4 linked regions of the Ovis aries genome follow. The protein of the gene in region 1 purifies or fractionates together with the protein of each later gene. This does not show direct contact. Links are inferred from orthologs where the notes say so. Each region holds a gene or a part of one and is shown in the gene's direction. Other genes may lie near its edges.

Region 1 (5,415 bases):
GTATTGGAGTTTCAGCCTCAGCATCAGTCCTTCCAATGAACACCCAAGACTGGTCTCCTTCAGATGAACTGGTTGGATCTCCTTGCAGTCCAAGGGACTCTCAACAGTCTTCAACACCACAGTTCAAAAGCATCAATTCTTCGGTGCTCAGCTTTCTTCACAGTCCAACTCTCACATCCATACATGACCACAGGAAAAACCATAGCCTTGACTAGACAGACCTTTGTTGGCAAAGTAATGTCTCTGCTTTTGAATATGCTCTCTAGGTTGGTCATAACTTTCCTTCCAAGGAGTAAGTGTCTCTTAATTTCATGGCTGCAATCACCATCTGCGGTGATTTTAGAGCCCCCCCAAAATAAAGTCTGACACTGTTTCCACTGCTCCCCATCTATTTCCCATGAAGTGATGGAACCAGATGCCTTACATAAGCATGTGAAGTAATTAATGCTTCTAATTTTTGCCAATCTGGTGAAATGGTTTTACAGCGTTGTTTCTTGAAAACCAAAAACATCTAACCCCCTCCCCCCCTCCTCCCTGCCCCACCCATACACACACACAGGTTGAACACTGAGGACTGAAACTACCAAAGAGCCTCCTTGCCCCACCCAACAACTTACTGTTTCCATTAGCATGACTCTACTATTCTTGACCAGAATATTATTTTTATTGTCCAAATGGTTGTTCATTATGAAACCCCCAGCCAAAGACTGATGAACTCTTTAATGGGATGCGTGGCATGCGTGCTCTCCCCGTGTCTGACTCTTTAGATCCCATAGACTGCAGGCCGCCAGGAGCCTCTGTCCATGGAATTTTCCAGGCAAGAATACTGGAGTGTGTTGCCATTTCCTAGTCCAGGGAATCTCGCCAACAATTTGTTACAGCAAGATTCTCTGAAATTCTTGCTTCAGCAGTTTCTACCAATACTGGACTGCTTTTCATGAGCTCTACCCAATCCTAAACAAGCCTCCAAACTAAAAAATCCACGTTAAACCAACAGGGCCTCTCTTCGGGAACTGATCAAGTTCTGCTTTCAGTTCAGTTCAAGTCGCTCAGTCGTGACCTACTCTTTGCGACCCCAAGTCCTGCTTTAGGTTACTATTATCACAAGCCTATCTTCTCTGCAAGCCTTAGATTTCCTGAGGGCAGGATGAGTAAGGCTTCAACCGATATTGCAGGTGATACGCGGGAAGTACACCGGTCACCTCAGCGAGTTGAGGAGCCGAAGCTCCAGAAACCTCCGGGCAGGAACTACTTCCGGCTTGAGAAGTGGCTCCCGACAGGCCCCGCGCCCCCGCTGCATGCCGGGACCTTCAGGGTGGAGGTTCGCGGCCCGCTGGAGACGCTGCTCCATCAGGCCGCTCTAGCGCCCGGGATGGCGCCCCACCGAGTGCCACCTGTTCCCGCTTTTCTTCAGAGAAAATGCAGCCCCGTGGATACTTACCCAAGCGACTATAAGAGTGATGAATTCGACCAAACACCAGCTTCCCGCCACCTCTTTAAACCACCGCAGGCTGCCAGAGATAGGCGGCGCGGTTGACTCCCCCAGATTCTGACCGCTCTCTGCTTTAGCGAACGACAGCAAGGGCAGGATGCCCCCGCGCTCCTAATTGGCCGACTGTCTGGGGAGGGGGCCACCTAGATTGGTGACGGAAAGGAGCCGGGCGGGAAAGCTAGCTGTGGCCGGCGGGGATTGGCAGAAGGAATCGGTATTCACTCCCTTCCCCAAGACGTTGGTGGGTGGAGAAGTTAGGCTGGGCCGCCGCGGAAACGCAACTCGTGATTGGCGGATGTGCTTTTCTTCGGGCTCTAGCGGTTGGTGGCTGGACGGTTGATCAGCGCTGATTGGATAGCAGCGTAACGGGGAGGGCCCCGCTCTGGTTCCGCCCTGATCCCGCCCCGCCGCTGGGATGGACTGGCGGAAGGGGAAGTGGGGGGTGGGGGGGGGCCGGCGGCGGTGGGGAAGATGGCGTACCAGAGCCTCCGGCTGGAGTACCTGCAGATCCCACCGGTCAGCCGTGCCTATACCACCGCCTGCGTCCTCACCACCGCCGCTGTGGTGAGCAGCTGCAGCGCCAGCTTCTCATGAGTTGTACTGGATATGCCCGGGTCCTCGGGAAACTGGGGTTTGGGCCTTGGGGAAGCTCAGAGTGGTTGGTCTCAAGGGTGGGTGGAGGCGTACAGGGCTCACTCTGGGGTTCAGTATCGCCCCGTAAGTACTATCCAGTGATCCAGAAAAAGAGGTGCTGTTCCATAAGGGGTGGAGGATCAGGACTGCGGGTCAGTTTCTGAGACATAAAGGCAGGACCTGTACCAAGTCAGGGCTGCGGGAGCCGCCCACCCAGGAAACGTGTCAGAGAACTCTGATGGTGTTCTCAGAGCCACAGAATGATCCTTTGTGACTACTGGGAGGAAGGTCCGCTTAGTGGAGAAACGTAGACGTTGAAGATAGAAAGATGGAAGTTGTTGAGCGGGAAAAGTCTTGAAATAAAGAGACTTACAGAGGTTGGCTGGAAGTACTCAGCCCTCACAGTGGCAGGGTGTTGAGTCTTGGTTCGAGTGAATTCTGTTGCTTCGCACAGTTGTTTTAGGTGATGCCCATGTATTGGGCATAATCCTAGCAGCTGGTCTTACTTGCCCTGAATTTAAGACATTACCACCTGCCTGCCATACCTTCACATCAGCCTCAGCTATTGAAACAACAGACTTTTATTTTGTGTTAGGTATTGGGGAACGCAAAGAATTGTGCCAGTTCTAGAGAACTCTTTACCAACCTTCCTCCAGCTTAAGAAGTAAACCTTAAATAATTCAGTCTAAGTCACTGAGAGTGGGAAATTTGCGAGAACTGCCAGTCTTTTGTAGTAAATGATGATATTTTGTTTCTTGATTGACTTGCTTGAAGAAGTTGTTTTTCTATTTCAGCAGTTGGAACTGATCACACCTTTTCAGTTGTACTTCAATCCTGAATTAATCTTTAAACACTTTCAAGTAAGTGGCCCATCACAACTGCCATTTAATGTTGCAGTTTTTAAACTTGTTTTTCTTACTTTTAAGTAGCTAATCCTGCTATATACTATCTCAAATAACTCAGTGGGAATATTTGATTATAAGTGTTGGGGGGCAGTGGGGGAGTACAAAGCAATGATTCTGCAGCCTGGAACTTTTAAAGAGATTCTCAAGATCCTCAGCATATACCAAATCAGAATCACCAAGGCTATGTTACAAAGTTGCCTGTATGGTTTTGATTTGATGCGTCCAGTTCCTATATTTAGGAATCACTGGTTCAGATTTAGTAGTATAGATTGAGAGGAGACTGGATCCGCTAGTTGTCCAGGGAGAGTCAGAGAGGATGTCCATATGTAGTCCATCCAGCACCATGTGGCACAGTCACCACCTTGGTGTTATCCCTGTGATCCAGTTCAGAAACTCAATAAGTGCTCTAACCCATCTCCCAGGGATCACATCATCCTCTCAAAGACTGACATCTAAGAAAACGCCAGTTTATTAGATTACAGTGAGAGACAGTCCTTTCCAGTAATTAGAATGCTAAAGAGGGATGGGTTTTTTTTGTTCTAGGCTCAAAAGTCTGTTTCTACACCTGCTGTTCCTCTGTCACAGAGGTGTTTCATTCACTTTGTACCCGTTGAGCTCCAGCTTGTCTTTCAGTATGCAGTTTTTGTGTAGCCTTCTCGGATTCATCCTCCTTTGTGTCCCTAGAGTATCTGTAAATACTTTTTTTTATATCTCTCATCTCATACTTGCACTTGTTTATATGCCTGTCTCACAAGGTTGAGGACTCTACAATCCTGGATGCAATTAGTATGCAGTAAACAATTCTGAGTTGTTTCAACTTTAATAGTTAGCAATTCTTAAGAATTTAATGATCGTAAAGGAGTCCCGTGAACCCTTATCACTGCCTTCTTCCTTCTGCACTCACAAGGCCTTCACTGGGAGCTTTAGCTCGATCCAAACAAACAAGGCTTGATTTTGCCTGAGGTTAAACTCTTCACACCATGTGTGAAATTAGGAGTTCTAGGTTTGAGTTCAGAGCCTCCCTTTGCAAGCTGTGTGATATTAGGCAGGCCATTTAAAAATCATCCAAGTCTCTTAGTTACATCATGTGTGAAATGGGGATGGTATTGGTCAGCCTCCTCATCTCACAGGATAATTAAAATCACATGAGATAATAATATTTTAAAACACTTTAAAATGTTAAATGTTCTATCATTGTGAGTAGTTGTTCTTATTGCAGGCGTGGATGATTTGGGTGGGGAAGAGTATATCAGGGTTTGAAAATAAGTGCATATCTACCAGTTAAACTAATTATTACAGTATTAGATCTTTATTTGTAGTGAGTTGGCTGTCTGTTCAGGCTATTCGAACAGAATATCTGTTCGAGTATTTGCTTTAGAATTACTCTTTATTCTGGATGTTTCTGATGGCTAATATAGAAACAATTGCTGTTAGATCCTGTAATTTCCTTTGGTATCTTGAGATTGTTCATTAGATTGTGATACTACATATATTAAAGCTCTGTTTCCTAGTCTGCAGATTAACTTAGTCTTGCCATCACACTTTTCCCATCATTTGCCTGACCATATGGTATGGATTTTTGTGTTGTTTTTTTTTAATACAATCACAATTGCAAGTTTTCTGTCCTGTCAGGCTTAGAACTTTCCAGGGGCAAGTGATATCTTTCAGACTCTCACTGAAGCCGCACAAAAATTCAGTGTCAGATTGTGTGTCTCACTTTTGAGTTTAGAAAATAGAATCACCTATTTGTGGCCTTTCAACCATTGTAGTCATAGGCTATCTCTTGTCTTAATATGAAAATGTTTCCTGGTATGTTTTACTTAATCTGTCTTTCTCTTGATTTTTTTTTTTTTTTTAACAGATATGGAGGCTAATCACCAATTTCTTGTTTTTTGGGCCAGTTGGATTCAATTTTTTATTTAACATGATTTTTCTGTATCCTTTACTAAGTGGGGTTAGCATAGAAACTTTAGTTTTACTTAGGAAATACAGTATTAAGTTTGAAACTATTAACTCTGCTGTTTTTGCTACCATCTCAGCTGTAACTTCTGGCTATTGGCTCAGTGATACACAGAATAGTTGGTCAGTTAGTAATGTTTTGAGGGTGTTTGTAGGTCATTGTTTATTCAAATGGGAGATATTATAAAATGTTTACATTTCTGTCCATGTGCCACTTACAGATCTGATTAAGGGAAACCAGAGTGATTTAATTGAGGTGTTCTTACAAAATAACACCAAGGGGTCCCAAGTGATAAAGCCCAACCTGGAAGTGGGTTCATGGGGGATGGAGAACTTGAGATCTACTTGGATCTCAGTTGCTGGTTCTGCCGGCTGGAAAGACAGTGTTTTGTCTGCCAGGCTCACCATGTTCCAGTTTGTTGAAAA
Region 2 (4,744 bases), on another chromosome or scaffold:
ACTTAATGCCTACTGTGGCATTTGTCTAAGCACAATATATGTATTAACTTACTTAGTTTCCCCAACTATTCTATGAGATATGTGCTATTGTTATAAGACCTGTCTTATAGATGGGAAACCAAAGCATGGGGATGGTAACCAAAGCCACACAGGAAATAGATGGTGGAACAAAGGTTCAGAACCAGGGCACAGAATGTTCTAGCTTCACCTCATGCTTCCTGCCCCAGATCTAGAAACAGACATTCACTAAGGATTCCTAGTTCATTTTATTCTCTGAACAAAGGGTGTCTAGGCACAGTACAGTGTTTTAAAGTTCTCAAAATAACTCTTATCTTTAAATAGTCTTGTTATCAATGTGTTCCACATGTGGGTTCAATTATTTCTGTTTTTTTTTAAATTTTGCTTTTCTTTCTGTTTAAAATTTTGAATTGGTGAAACATTTACACAGTTTAAAAACTTTATATAAAAGTACCTTAGGAGCTGTGTTTCCATCCTCCTCCACACTTGGGTTCCACCACCACAGTTGATGGTGCTTTTTAATATCTGTTGGGTTGATGCTCCTCGTTGCCCTTCTTTTTTTTTTCAGGATGGTAAATATTTTTAAAACTGCATATTCTTAGTGTAAGAAAGAGTACAATAAAGCAGATATACTTATGTGGGCATGTACACTTATAATTAGAAACTATAATAACACCCATAACCTTTGATTGCTGAATAAATAGAATCTTGTACAAAGATATTCATTGCAATATTTTTTGAATGGTGAAAAAACATTTCAGTGACCATCTGTAACCACTAAAGTGGTCTATTCAGACAGTGTTCATTGGCATCAATCAGTGTTTTACATTTAGGAAGAAAATGGCATGAAAATGTTAAGGCATCATTTTTGTTTTACCTTTTCTTTGTACTTTTGCATACATTATTGATTATGGCTGGAAAATTAGCATATGTTATTTTTGAATCTGAAGGATGTTTAAAAAAAAGAATGTCTACTCTTTTGTTTTAAGAATTCAGAGAGCAGAAGTAGTAAAAATGATACTTGTAGCTATCACCATTCTTTTTTATTCTGTGTTTTATTCTGTTATATAACATATTATTAATATTATACTAAACTAATATTATTCCACTCTTAATGTCTAAAATTTCATAACTGACTGAGGAATTCAATCCAGAATCTATAGATTACTTCCTAGATGTCTTACTTTTGTTCTTCACAGGACTCATTTCTTTCTTTGCCTTTGGTTTTGTCATGGACAAGTGTTTTTAAACAGAGAATAGAATATTCTCTCCTCCTTAAAAGCCAGCTTATCATCTCTAGAACGGGTTAGGTGTAATGGTACTCACCTTTGCGAATATTTTTCTTTTTAGCACCTCAAAGACAAGTTTTGGAATTTTATTTTCTACAAGTTCATTTTCATTTTCGGGGTGCTGAATGTCCAAACAGTGGAAGAAGTGGTCATGTGGTGCCTCTGGTTTGCTGGACTGGTATTTCTGCACCTGATGGTTCAGCTCTGCAAGGACCGGTTTGAATATGTGAGTTTTTACCCAAGCTCTTCTTTTCCTGCTTAGGCATACACATGGCAGGTCTGAGTGGTGTCATACGAATGAGCCGTGACACACGGAAGGCTCCTGGCTCAGGCACCTCCTTCCTGTTTCTTGAGGAACTTTCTGCAGCACCCAAGGCATGCAGGGACAATGTCCCCTCAGGAGGCTTTCTCCCCTCCCCAGTAGTGTTACATGACAGCCCATGTGGGGTCAGTTCATCTAACACAAACTGTTTTGATCACAGTGAAAGGGAAGCTTAAACTGGAAAAATAGCTGATCTCTTCCAGATGCTTTCTAATCTCCTTCCGTTTTTTCCCTTCTTACTCTGGCCCTTGGGGCTCCTCTTTCTGACTAGTGTATGTTGTTTCCACCCCCGGGCCAGCGCTGAGGTAGCTCCCTTTGCTCCCTTGGTCCCTGGAGAAGTGAATCCTTTTCTATCGGGATATAAGTTCTGCTTTTTGGCTACAGAGTTGTGCAGGAGAATCTTCATTCCTGAGTGCTCCCGAACTAATCTCATAGATCCAGAGCAGATGGGCACCTGCCATCCTACTGCTCTGTGAAACCCACCCCACGGTGCTCTTTGCCCCTTTCTTTATGCAGTCTTCATGGACCATGGTGGTCCTTGCACCTTTTTGTGGGTTGATCTCAGTTCCACAGCCTTGAGCTGTTTTCGGAATTCAGCTCCCATCCCGGGCCATGAACAGGTACTGCTTGTCTCCCCAGCTGGTTTGGTATCTACAGTCTCCTGCTCAGGAGTCACAGCTCCAGACCTCCCTTCTCCAAGCTGTTGCCTCTGCTTGTGTACCATTAACATAGCACAATGATAGTGGTCCATCTTCACCTGGAGTACACATCAGTTGTCCCAGCTGTGAACAGGCTAGGAATGTCCCCCCAGCTGACCTTGAGGGGTTAGGATTAGAGCAAGATTGAGAAAGAGCACGACAGAACACGGTGTTGCCCAGAGTCCTGTTGAAGCCAGAGGGAGAATGACAGAACTCTGGCAAGTTGCTTCTAGAGGCTTGTAACCCCACCAGTAGGAGGATTCTTGAGAATTTGAGATGAAAATATCATGGATATTATGATCCCTAAATTAAGCGGTGAAGATCTCAAGGTACCAGCGCATACTCATATTGAGGTTGGCTGGAGAATTCTGACCATCTGGTAATGGGATACTTTTCTGTGCAGACTTCCCAACAAAGACACCAAGATTAACCTCAAATTTCTCGGTCAGGTCTAACCCTGCCATGCTGAAGACGAGCTTCTTTCTTCTGTTTTGTCCTTCCAGCTTTCTTTTTCTCCCACCACCCCCATGAGCAGCCACGGCCGAGTTCTGTCCCTCCTGATCGCCATGCTGCTTTCCTGCTGTGGATTAGCAGTCGTCTGTTGCGTCACGGGCTACACCCATGGGATGCACACGTTGGCTTTCATGGCTGCAGAGGTAAGATACAGACATAGGCTTTTGCTCTGGTGTGTTCCCGTGTACTTCCAAGGAAGCTAGAGGGTGGTTGACAGATTATTTTTCACCTGTGATGGATAGCTGGTCTTTCATTTTAACAAACATTTTTGGAGTTCCTTTGTTTTAGATTGGGTTCTGGTACTGAATGCTTCTATGTGTGTTATTTCATGTAATCCTTGCTACAGCCTAATGAAAAGTACAGTTGACCCTTGAACAACATGTGAACTGTGTGGGTCCACTTACATGTGGATATTTTTCAGGAGGAAGTACTACCCGGTCCCTGGGTGGTTGAATCCACAGATGCAGAGGAATTGGATATGGAGGGCTGACGATAAATTAGGCACTCCTCTGTTGCCCAAGGGTCAGCTGTAATTATTTTTGCCAGCAGTCATACATAGTGCTTACTCTACACTGGGGATTGTTGTAAATACCTTACATGCCTGTTTATGAATGGAAAAATGGCATGGAAGCTAAACTGCTAAAAGTTCCTAAGTGGTAAAATTAGCATAATCCAAGGTCTATGGCTTCAAAGTGGGAAAGGTTTTCTCCTTAAGAAGCAGTGCTTGGTAACAATAGGGAAATACCCTGTAATTGGTTTGGAGTAGGAAGTGGCAACTCACTCCAGTAATCCCACCTGGGAAATCCTATGGACAGAGGAGCCTGACCTGCTACAGTCCAGGGGGTTGCAAAGAGTTGGACTTAGCTTAGTGCCTTAACTACCACCTGTAATTGGTTAGTTTAGATAGGCCATAAATTAAGGTTTTACAAAATAATACAATAAATATGGAAACTGTATTAATTATTTTCAGAGAATAATCTGAGATACACATGTATATTGAAAATGTACTTTTAAAAACCTTTCTGAAAATACCAATTTCTGTTCAATGGAAATCAGATTTTTTGTATGTTCTTTCTTTTCAGTGGCTATATTTGCTTTTTTTTTCAGGCCAAAGGAAAAACACTCTTATCTTGTCCATAATTGCTGTTAATGAAAGAGTGAAATAATAGATATCTAGTATCACTATTAATAGATGGCTAATATCAAAACTGTAAGTTTAAACTGCTAATTGGGAATTTGTTAGAATAGGATTAAAATTTATTTTGCTTAATAGTGTTCATTTTGGAGTATAATGTAGTGTAAGTACATTGTTTTCCTTCTTTGTTTCTTGAGCTTTTAATTACTACTAGGCCAAACTTTAAAAAAGCTATACCTAAAAATAAAGATACTTAAAATAGATCTATTGGGTCATAGTACATATTTTTATTTTAGCTCATTAAGTTCTTAAGATAAAATACCATCTTATAGATTTGATATTTTGAACTAAATCATGTTTTTATAGTGTTTTTCTTCTGTGCAAAATATTTTCTATTTGTAAATGAAAGTTTTCTAATCTCTAAGAATGTTTATGTTTAATTCTAGATTAAGAGGAAACTTTTCTTAGCATCAGTTTCTATAATGCAAAATACCATGAAGGTCTTATTTTGTTATTGATTTCATGCATTCGGTTTTCTTCTGTGTCAATGAACAGGGTGCAGAAAGCATTATGCAGCAGGCAGGGACTCGTAGATGTCTAGGATAGCAGGGTCTAAACCTCACCTTGGGTAAATGGTCACCAGGCATTCAGACAGCCTCTTCAGGTTATCAGTTACGATGATTCAGTGCTGTACAAAATAGAAGTGATTGTCAAACTCAGTGACCTCAAGACTGTGGAAGGCATCCCCAGGAGCTGGACAGGTGTAGTT
Region 3 (4,744 bases), on another chromosome or scaffold:
GTACACAGGGACCTCATTTAGGTCTCCCTTAACCTCAGTTTATACAGCTGGGCAGAGTGAGGCCCCAAAACAAGTAAATACTTACCCAAGACCAAGTGGACAGAGGTAGCCCTGTGCCGACGGGAAGCCTCAGCCTCTGACTCTGAGGCCAATTGGTGTATATAGTGTCCCCATCGTGCAGAGTTCAAATCCCTCATCATCTCTGAGCCTCGCCAAGATGGGGAATTTCCATCAACCACGAAGGACCACACCAAAATCCAGTGGGGAGGTAGCGAGAAACCCAAGGGTGATGGAAATATACAGAATTAATCTCAGCACCATCTTCAGCTCTAAAACCACTGGCTAGTTTACGAAAAATATAAACAGGTATTACATAATCTGCGGTCTCCTCTATTTGGGTTATTTAGAGGCCTGAAGTCCAGGGGGGGGGAAAAAAAAAGGTAATGGAAAGAAACCAGTTTTGTGCTTCATCTTGTTGTTTATTGGAAAGAAACTTTAAGTCCAAGGAGGTAAGTAAAACCCAGCATTCTTTGTTCACAACTTTTTAACCTCGGGTTTTCATATGCCAAGTTCAAGAGCTCCTTTGTCTTTGTATTTTATTAAAATGATGGTTTTAGTTATGTGACTAATATCAATAGCCAGCTCTGTGGCTGCAGGCACACCCTGTCCTCTGCTTAGACCTCAGTTCCTTTATCTGGGAAGAGAGCAGGTGGTACTTAGGAGACCTCGGCCTGGTGGCCCAAGGCAGGGGTCTGTGTGGAGTGGAGGGAGCTCTGTGGAGCAGAGGTGGTCCTGTGTTGCTGCAGGAGACATTGACTTTGATGATCGCTAGATGGAGTCTGACCTTGCTGGGCCAGCCACAGGCCTTGCCATTCCCTGTTGTCTCCCCCGACCAGCCATGGAGCTCATCTTCCTCCCAGTGATCCTCTGAGGGCTTCTGCTTGCCCATCTACCAGCCTCTCCTTCAAGGCCATCTGCTCTCTCAGGTGCTTTCAATGTAAGGTGTGGAGGCTAGACTTGGTGAAGATCTTACTTTCAAAGATCCCCCAAATCTGACTTTCTACCTGCGACAAAGTGAAGACCAGAGAAACTAAGCAACTCATCCAAGGCCACACAGCAGGTGGTGACAGAGACCTAGATTAGAAGCCAGGTCTGTCTGAGAAGGAAAAGATGCTTTTCCAACTCTTACCCACCCACCCCCACCACCGCCCCCACCTCCCGACACACACAAAGACAAATTCCACTTGGCTGGAGGAGCCAGGACCTTCAACACCCACAGCATGCTGAGCACAGAGCTGGGACAGAGGAGGCAAGCAGGGTGTGTAAGCTGACCGTCAGCACAGTCCTGTGACTGAGGCCACAGACTCACTGTGAGGGCAGCCCTCCAGCTCAGGAACATCTACCAGGGGCTGAGGTTCATTGTGAGTGTTGGGGTACAGCCCCCTGCCCCAGCTGGGTTTCCTCACGGCTCTTCTGTGTTCCTGCTGTGTGTCATTGAAGCAAGATCCCTCCCACTCTGGGGTGTCACCTCTCTATCCATTAGGTAACAGATTTTAGTGGAAGTCCTCCTAGGGCTGTTCCAGATCCAATCATCCCTGAGTCCGATTCAGCCAACCTCCTGGGTCATTATCCACTTCCTGTCCCTCAGTTTCCTCTTCCCAAAATAAGGCCAGCAGCACTTACACCTTGGGATATTAGCACTTACACATTGTGGATATTAACAGAGCCATCGAGAACGTGGACTCTAGACCCAGACGACCTGGGAGTGTGATTCTGATTCTCTTACTTATCTGTCCTGGAACCCTGGACAAGTGACTTAACCTCTAGGAGCCTGGTCTCATCTGTAAGCCCAGGGGTGTCACATGACCTAGGTCAGAGGACTGTTACCGGAACAGGGTGAGATAAGACAGTAAAGAGTTTAGGATGGAATTTGGCGTGCAATAAGTGCCATCAAATCCCTCCCATTGTTCTGAGTCTTTCAGTGATGCCGACATAGAAGAGTGTTTGGCATATAGATCCTTGATAAACTGGTTGCTTTGACCTGGCATCTGTCAGTGGCCAAGGGACTCACTGTATGGTCTGACCCAGGCATGGTACCCTTCTCTCTCTTGCAGGATAATGGCACTCTCCATCACACGGGGCCTTCTGCTGCTGGCAGCCCTGTGCTGCCTGGCCCCCACCTCCCTGGCTGGGGTTCTCCAAGGACACGCTGTCCAAGAGACAGATGATACATCCCACCAGGAAGCAGCCTGCCACAAGATTGCCCCCAACCTGGCCAACTTTGCCTTCAGCATATACCACAAGTTGGCCCATCAGTCCAATACCAGCAACATCTTCTTCTCCCCAGTGAGCATCGCTTCAGCCTTTGCGATGCTTTCCCTGGGAGCCAAGGGCAACACTCACACTGAGATCCTGGAGGGCCTGGGTTTCAACCTCACTGAGCTAGCAGAGGCTGAGATCCACAAAGGCTTTCAGCATCTTCTCCACACCCTCAACCAGCCAAACCACCAGCTGCAACTGACCACCGGCAATGGTCTGTTCATCAATGAGAGTGCAAAGCTAGTTGATACGTTTTTGGAGGATGTCAAGAATCTATATCACTCCAAAGCCTTCTCCATCAACTTCAGGGATGCTGAGGAGGCCAAGAAGAAGATCAATGATTATGTAGAGAAGGGAAGCCATGGAAAAATTGTGGATTTGGTAAAGGATCTTGACCAAGACACAGTTTTTGCTCTGGTGAATTACATATCCTTTAAAGGTAAGGTTGCATAACCAGTCTGAGCTTTTCTGCACAGAATCACCCTCAAAATAGTCTCAAACACTCAGTTCTTAACTTTCCTGGCAGCACAGAATGGGATATAGCCATGCATCTCTGCATGTGTTATTCAGTTTTCCACACATGACCACTAAAACTTCCTATGATCAAATAGGGTTAGGGAATTATGAATTAAACAAAGTACCTTCATCTCTGCAGGACTTTTCAGAGCCCTAAATGACCTAACATGCACTGCAAATTCCCACCAGAGAGAGGTGTATGATATGCAGTGCCTCCCAAAATAGAGTCAGAAAAACAAACCCCGAACCACACTTCTGACAACTGCAGCGCAGAGGAAGTAGTGACACCTTTGGAGTCAGGAAGACCAAGATTCAGATGCTTCCTCTACCACATGAGCCTCCACGAAATTGAAATTCTGGATCCTATACCAGCCTTGCATTATTCTCCCCCGAAGTCTTTTCTGTAGACTGCTGTTTCACTTTAGACCCATTTTACAGATGGTAAAACTGAGGTTTGGGGCTTCCCAGGTGGCTCAGGGGTAAAGAATCCACCTTCCAATGCAGGAGCACAGGAGCACAGGAGATGTGGGTTTGATCCCTGGCTCAGGAAGCTCCCCTGAAGAAGGAAATGGCAAAGCCCTCTAGTATTCTTGCCTGGGGAATCCCATCGACAGAAGAGCCTGGTGGGCTACAGTTCATGGGGTCGCAAAGAGTCGGACACGAGCACACACGCAAATCTGAGGCTCAGAGAGAAGTACCTCACCAGGAGGCTCAAGGCTCCTTTATTCTCCCACTGATACTAAACCTCCTCCCACCCTTGGCTGACGTCCGCTATCTCTTCTCTCCAGGAAAATGGGAGAAGCCCTTCGAGGTCGAGCACACCACGGAGAGGGACTTCCACGTGAATGAGCAAACCACCGTGAAGGTGCCCATGATGAACCGCCTGGGCATGTTTGACCTCCACTACTGTGACAAGCTCGCCAGCTGGGTGCTGCTGCTGGACTACGTGGGCAACGTCACCGCCTGCTTCATCCTGCCCGACCTCGGGAAACTGCAGCAGCTGGAAGACAAGCTCAACAACGAACTCCTCGCCAAGTTCCTGGAAAAGAAATATGCAAGGTGACCTCCCAAGCAGACCGACCCGGGAGCTGCCACATCTGGTCCGGTCAGAGGGTGGGGGGATAGACCCACCGACCACAGCCATGACCGCCGTGTGTCTGCTTCCAACAGAGGCCAGAATGCATGCACGCGGTACCAGGCAGACTTCAGGAGAGGGCTGGTGCCCAGGGGTGAGGACGGAAAGTCCTGTCCTTGAGGACTTCCTCCCCAGCCTGGACACTGCCCCTTCCTGGTGCACGGGAAAGCAATGTCAACACATGTTATTGGCAAACCCAGAAAGAAGAGGATGGGCTTCCTGGCAAAGGGGGCAGTTGAATGTAGATTACAGGATAGAGTGTGAATTACCGGCTAAAAAGTCCACGGCAGGATGAGGGTAGGGGAGGGGGGAGAAATGCTTGGAGAGGCTGAAAAAGCCAACGCCCAGAGCAGGAAACTCCAGGACCTGTTTGAGGCTGGTTCTGATTCCTCTGTCATTAGACGAGTGTGGTTCGACCAGGTCCCCATCATGCACTCCGCATCAGTACCTGTCTCTGTGTTTGCAAATATGCCCAGGCCCAGATGAGCAATTTTATCATGTATAACATAAAACAAAGATGAAAATACAGAGAAGTACTCCTCACGCTCTCAAAAGATGTCACTCAGGACCTGCCACCACACCCCACAGTCCCCTGGGATACTGGCCCTGGACGAGTCCCAGTCTAGGGGGCACGACCAAACCCTACAGGGAAGTAGTGAGTACCGTCCTTCCAGAGGACACCCCAGATCCTCCGGGAGGCCTTCTCAGAGGAGGTGGCCCCTGAGAGGCTCTGCAGGACAAGAGGATCGCTCTGATTCTAATATCCTCTGACCC
Region 4 (4,299 bases), on another chromosome or scaffold:
AGTTTAATTGGAACCAGAGTGAATTGAAGCTTGGGTTTGGATTGCCTCAGGAACTGAGAGAGTTAGTGACCTTTGTGCGCACGTGCGTTGCAGTACCCATTTGTTGTTCAAGGAGTGGGAAGCAGAGATGAAGACCTCGGGTGCTGTGTTTCCCTCCTGTTCACTGCTCAAGCTTTCCCAGGTGCTCACTGTTGGACATGGTTTCCTACTGAGATTAGTTTTCTCTTATACTCCCATAGTACCTTACTTTCAGAGAATTCTCAAATTTGTTCTCATTGGCTCCTCACAGCCTTCCAAGTTGAAGGGTTAAGTGACTTTCCTCAGGTGACACAACCAAATAGCAGCAAAGCATGCCTGCCAGACACACTGACCCTTTTCAAGTCAGGGTTCTTCAACATGACCAGAAATGCCTAGTTTAAAAGAAGAATCGGTATCCTTTCTTCTGTGACACTTTCTGCTTTCTTTAATAGTATGGAAAAGCGAAGGATTCTGTATCTGAATTAAACTCACACACCACTAGATAACAGCTACTTTATTAACTGAAGAAAGTGCAGGTGAAAGTTTGAAGAACATTTAAATTACAGATTATCAAAAGCGCATTTTCTTTGAGAAAGATGACAGCTTATAAATTCATTTTGTATCATGTGTGATTCTTCCTCAGCTTGAAGAAGAAAAAAGGAGACAGAAGATTGAAATGTGGGATAGCATGCAAGAAGGAAAAAGTTATAAAGGAAATACAAGAAAGCCTCAGGTGATGTAGCCTTCAACCTAGTGGACTTTTTTCAAGTAGGTGAAGATTCCTGGAGTAGAATGTCTTAACTAGATTCTTAAGCCTGTATATGTTCAAGCAGGAAGAAGACAGTCCTGGGCCTTCTACTTCATCAGTCATCCCGAAACGAAAATCTGACAGAAAGCCTTTGCGAGGAGGAGGTAAGTGTCAAACATTAAAGCATTCTGAACAATGACTGGCTAAATTTACCTGAAACAGGATTCTCTTTTCTTGATTCATAGTCTGTAAACAGAGACTAATTCCTAAGTATAGGTTATGAAGATTCAATAAAAGAAACAGATATAAAACAGCCTTCAGCAGCTAGAAATGACCAACCTACTGAACCCTACTGTTGCCCCTGGGCCTCCAGCAAGGGCGTGGGTGCATGTCCTGTTTCCAGGAGGCCACTGACCTCCTTGGCCTCACAAAAGTTAGCATTTGATGAGCAAAGAAAAGGAGGTCACTCGAGGCGCTCAGGAAATAATTGGGATGGTTGCAGTTGTATTTTAGTGTTTTTCACTTCATCCCAGTCCTGTAAGGGGTAAGTTAAGTGAGGCAAGGAGTAGTTTGCCTGTTTTGCATATAAGTGGGTCAAGGGGCCTAGGACGCAAGTTTTGGCCTTTCCAGCCAGAGCTGCCTTGTTTCTTACAAATAACTCCCTCAAGGAGGCATGAACAGATAGATACTCATTAAGAGACCTTTTGTGTGCAGTACCCTGAAGCACTCTAGGTGGTACCATAGCAGTGTGTACCATCCCATCCTTGAGGACTTTCATGTACTTTTGGGAAGATGGGACCCCCACACAGTTGAAAATAAGTAATCCTTTATGATCTGCCAGGAGTTCCTCCTCCATCTGGAGAGAGGGGAGGGCAAAAGCATTAGAATGCTTTGGGAAGGAACCAGTTCTAGGCTGAAGATACTTTCTTCTATCTGGGAAGAGGGGTTTGCTCTGGGTAGGTGCCACAGAGGCAGAGGTGTGGAAGCCTGGCCAACCTCTTAGAGGACTGAGGGGAGTCTGTGAAGCCTGTGGGCTGCCCTTAAAGGCTGGGTTCTAATCCCTTCCTTTGTGTTAGGAACTCAGAGCTGGCTTGTATAGGGGAGTGGTATGTCTGAAAAGAAAATGCTTTTTTAAGTCTTTTTCTTGCTCCAGCAAGAAATAATCTTCTAAGACCATTTTGCAGAGCAAAGAGTGGTAGTATTCAGGAGACGATTGTAGAAAATGGAATGTATGGTGTGCTGTGTGCATGCCTCTAGCATTGCCAGTAATCCAGAGCTTGGGGGCTTGGAATGGCCTGTCTTTATAGGCCTTAAAGAAACTGAGGCACAGGGAGTTGGTGACCAAAGATTCTACAGTAAGGAACAAAACCACCTCATTTAAGGTCTTGCTAAGTCTAGAGCCTGAGCAGAATGGTCGCCTAATGTCTGTTAACTTTAGTAAGTTAATGAGTGGGCAGGGATGAGTGTGGGGGCTGGGGCATGTGGATTTCCCAGTTCTGACTGGTGAAAGCAACAGCAAGTTCCATTCTGTTTTGATTTTTATAATTTATTTTCTGTAGCTTGAGCAGTTCTTACTTGAATGTATTCATTTTATTAAGGACTACAGTTAGAAACCTTTATATACTTAAATTTAGCCATCTTGAGAGGCTTTGGGGGCAATTTTTTTGTGTATTTGGAGGGGATTTTCATGTTTTGATAGTTACAACAGAAGCTGAATGGCTTGTTTTATTCAAGTCAGTTCAGACTGCGATCACATTATAGAAAGTAAGATCAGTATATACAATGCAATAGAATGCAGTCACACTGTAAAGTTTTTTTTGTCACGTGGTAGCTTAAAGTTTTCTGAAAATGTTATGAGAGTAGGATCATATCTTTGCAGTGATTTGCATATCAGGCTTACAGTCCTCTGTTTGATGCAAAATGCTTCTAGCACTGTTTTGCTTCCTTTCTCTCGTCACAGGTTACAATCCTTTGTCTGGTGAAGGTGGTGGAACCTGCTCCTGGAGACCTGGACGCAGAGGACCCTCATCTGGTGGATGAGGCTAGGAATCTTGTTAGTGTCACTTTTGACATTAGCAAGATGAATCCTTAACCCTCAACTCAATTGTCTTACGCACGCTTTTCACAGTCATTAGCCAGGGGGAGGGGCTTTCTTTCTGTTCTTAACTACACTGATGACTTCAAGGATTGAAGGCAGCATAGGGTGTGGACATGGCCACTAGGCAGTAATTGCAGTTAGTCACACTGCACTGAAGCCAGTGACTGTTCATTGATTTTACAGGTCTTTGTTAGTTGGTAGCTAAGGGCTTGCAGATGATTGGTGATCTTGATAAAAGAGACCTGGCAATGATCCTTCAAGTTAAGAGCTCCTGGCTGGTAGGACAGTTTCTGTGACAGCTTGTGTTGAATGATGTCTTCCTTGTAAATGGTGAGCCCACCAGCAAGGATTACTGATGCAGACAGTTGACGGGGTTGTTCTGTAAATTTATATGTACAGAACTGTTTTAGAAAAAAAGAGACTGTAAATATTTAAAAAAAAAATGCAGAGAACATTTTCAGTATCTTTATTAAATTTAAGGAAATTTCTTTATGCACTTGAATTTGTCTGTCTAACATAATACAGCTTTTTATCATTCATAACCTCCCATTAATAAGATTTGCTTTCTCGTCTCATTATTGCTCACCTCAGTGAGCGTGAAAAGTGGGACAGCTGCAGTGGTTTTCAGAGCTTGAGGGCTCCTGGGGGTTTATCCGCAAAACCAGGTACTTGGAGTTGAGTTTCTGCATTAATAGGGCAAAGAAACATCTTGCGTGTAAGTACCTCAGGGGTTATTGGGGTTTTGGGAAGCCCTGTGAGTCTCGCACTCATTTCTTATGTCCTTATCGAGAATCTCTGTGAAGTATGTTATAAAGGGCCAGGTAGTAAAGATTTTAGGCTTTAGGCACAGTCTATATTTTTAAAATTTTTAAAGAATTTTTAAATACATTTAAAAATATTTAGCTTACGGGCTAGATTTGTCCTGCCGCCTGTAGTTTGCTGATCCCTGCTTCATGTCAAGATCATGAGAAAGAATAATGGAAAGTTTTAGACTTGGGTTAAAATATTTCATCTAGGTCTGTTATTTACGTCCAGAGAGATTGATTCCCTGTAGGATATAAACGAACTTTTAAGAGTTCTTCCTTTAAAATATTTTCTGTAGTTGAACATACATAGTTAAGCAGCTATTAACTATTCATTTTAGGAATAGAAGGCATGTTTCAGTATACTATTAGCTGTGACTTTTCCCTCAAACCTCCTTTTTTTCCCCCATAAATTAAGGAATTATCAGGTGTAAACACATAGGAAGAAATGCTGAGTTGTGTGTACCCACCTTGTATCTGGCAGTATGACTGGTGGTGGAGGGGTGGTGCCATGTGACTAACTGATCGGCAGATAATAGAAGAGGGAAGGAAACTAATTAGTGTAACAGCATTTGAAGAGCACTTGCTGTGTGCCAGGCACATACATTTATAGTTAATCCTCACTATAGTCC

The links. The genes of interacting proteins can lie anywhere in the genome.
Region 2: the proteins of DERL2 (region 1) and AMFR purify together in Homo sapiens (affinity purification with western blotting; 4 studies listed by BioGRID and IntAct, with this or other methods). This does not show direct contact. The link is inferred for Ovis aries from reciprocal best matches to the Homo sapiens genes DERL2 and AMFR.
Region 3: the proteins of DERL2 (region 1) and SERPINA1 purify together in Homo sapiens (affinity purification with western blotting; 3 studies listed by BioGRID). This does not show direct contact. The link is inferred for Ovis aries from reciprocal best matches to the Homo sapiens genes DERL2 and SERPINA1.
Region 4: the proteins of DERL2 (region 1) and SELENOS purify together in Homo sapiens (affinity purification with western blotting; 3 studies listed by BioGRID and IntAct, with this or other methods). This does not show direct contact. The link is inferred for Ovis aries from reciprocal best matches to the Homo sapiens genes DERL2 and SELENOS.

What each region holds. Positions count from the first base shown.
Region 1 is NC_056064.1:25,956,064-25,961,478, forward strand, and holds the start of DERL2 (derlin-2), read left to right. Parts: upstream 1-1,936; 5' UTR 1,937-1,963; coding exon 1,964-2,056; intron 2,057-2,919; coding exon 2,920-2,985; intron 2,986-4,891; coding exon 4,892-4,965; intron 4,966-5,415.
Region 2 is NC_056067.1:23,723,351-23,728,094, forward strand, and holds part of AMFR (E3 ubiquitin-protein ligase AMFR), read left to right. Parts: intron 1-1,368; coding exon 1,369-1,533; intron 1,534-2,830; coding exon 2,831-2,983; intron 2,984-4,744. UniProt on the Homo sapiens protein: E3 ubiquitin-protein ligase that mediates the polyubiquitination of lysine and cysteine residues on target proteins, such as CD3D, CYP3A4, CFTR, INSIG1, SOAT2/ACAT2 and APOB for proteasomal degradation.
Region 3 is NC_056071.1:56,840,199-56,844,942, reverse strand, and holds part of SERPINA1 (alpha-1-antiproteinase), read left to right. Parts: intron 1-2,114; 5' UTR 2,115-2,118; coding exon 2,119-2,758; intron 2,759-3,623; coding exon 3,624-3,894; intron 3,895-4,744.
Region 4 is NC_056071.1:4,626,902-4,631,200, forward strand, and holds the end of SELENOS (selenoprotein S), read left to right. Parts: intron 1-661; coding exon 662-751; intron 752-848; coding exon 849-930; intron 931-2,726; coding exon 2,727-2,806; 3' UTR 2,807-3,356; downstream 3,357-4,299. UniProt on the Homo sapiens protein: Involved in the degradation process of misfolded endoplasmic reticulum (ER) luminal proteins. Participates in the transfer of misfolded proteins from the ER to the cytosol, where they are destroyed by the proteasome in a ubiquitin-dependent manner.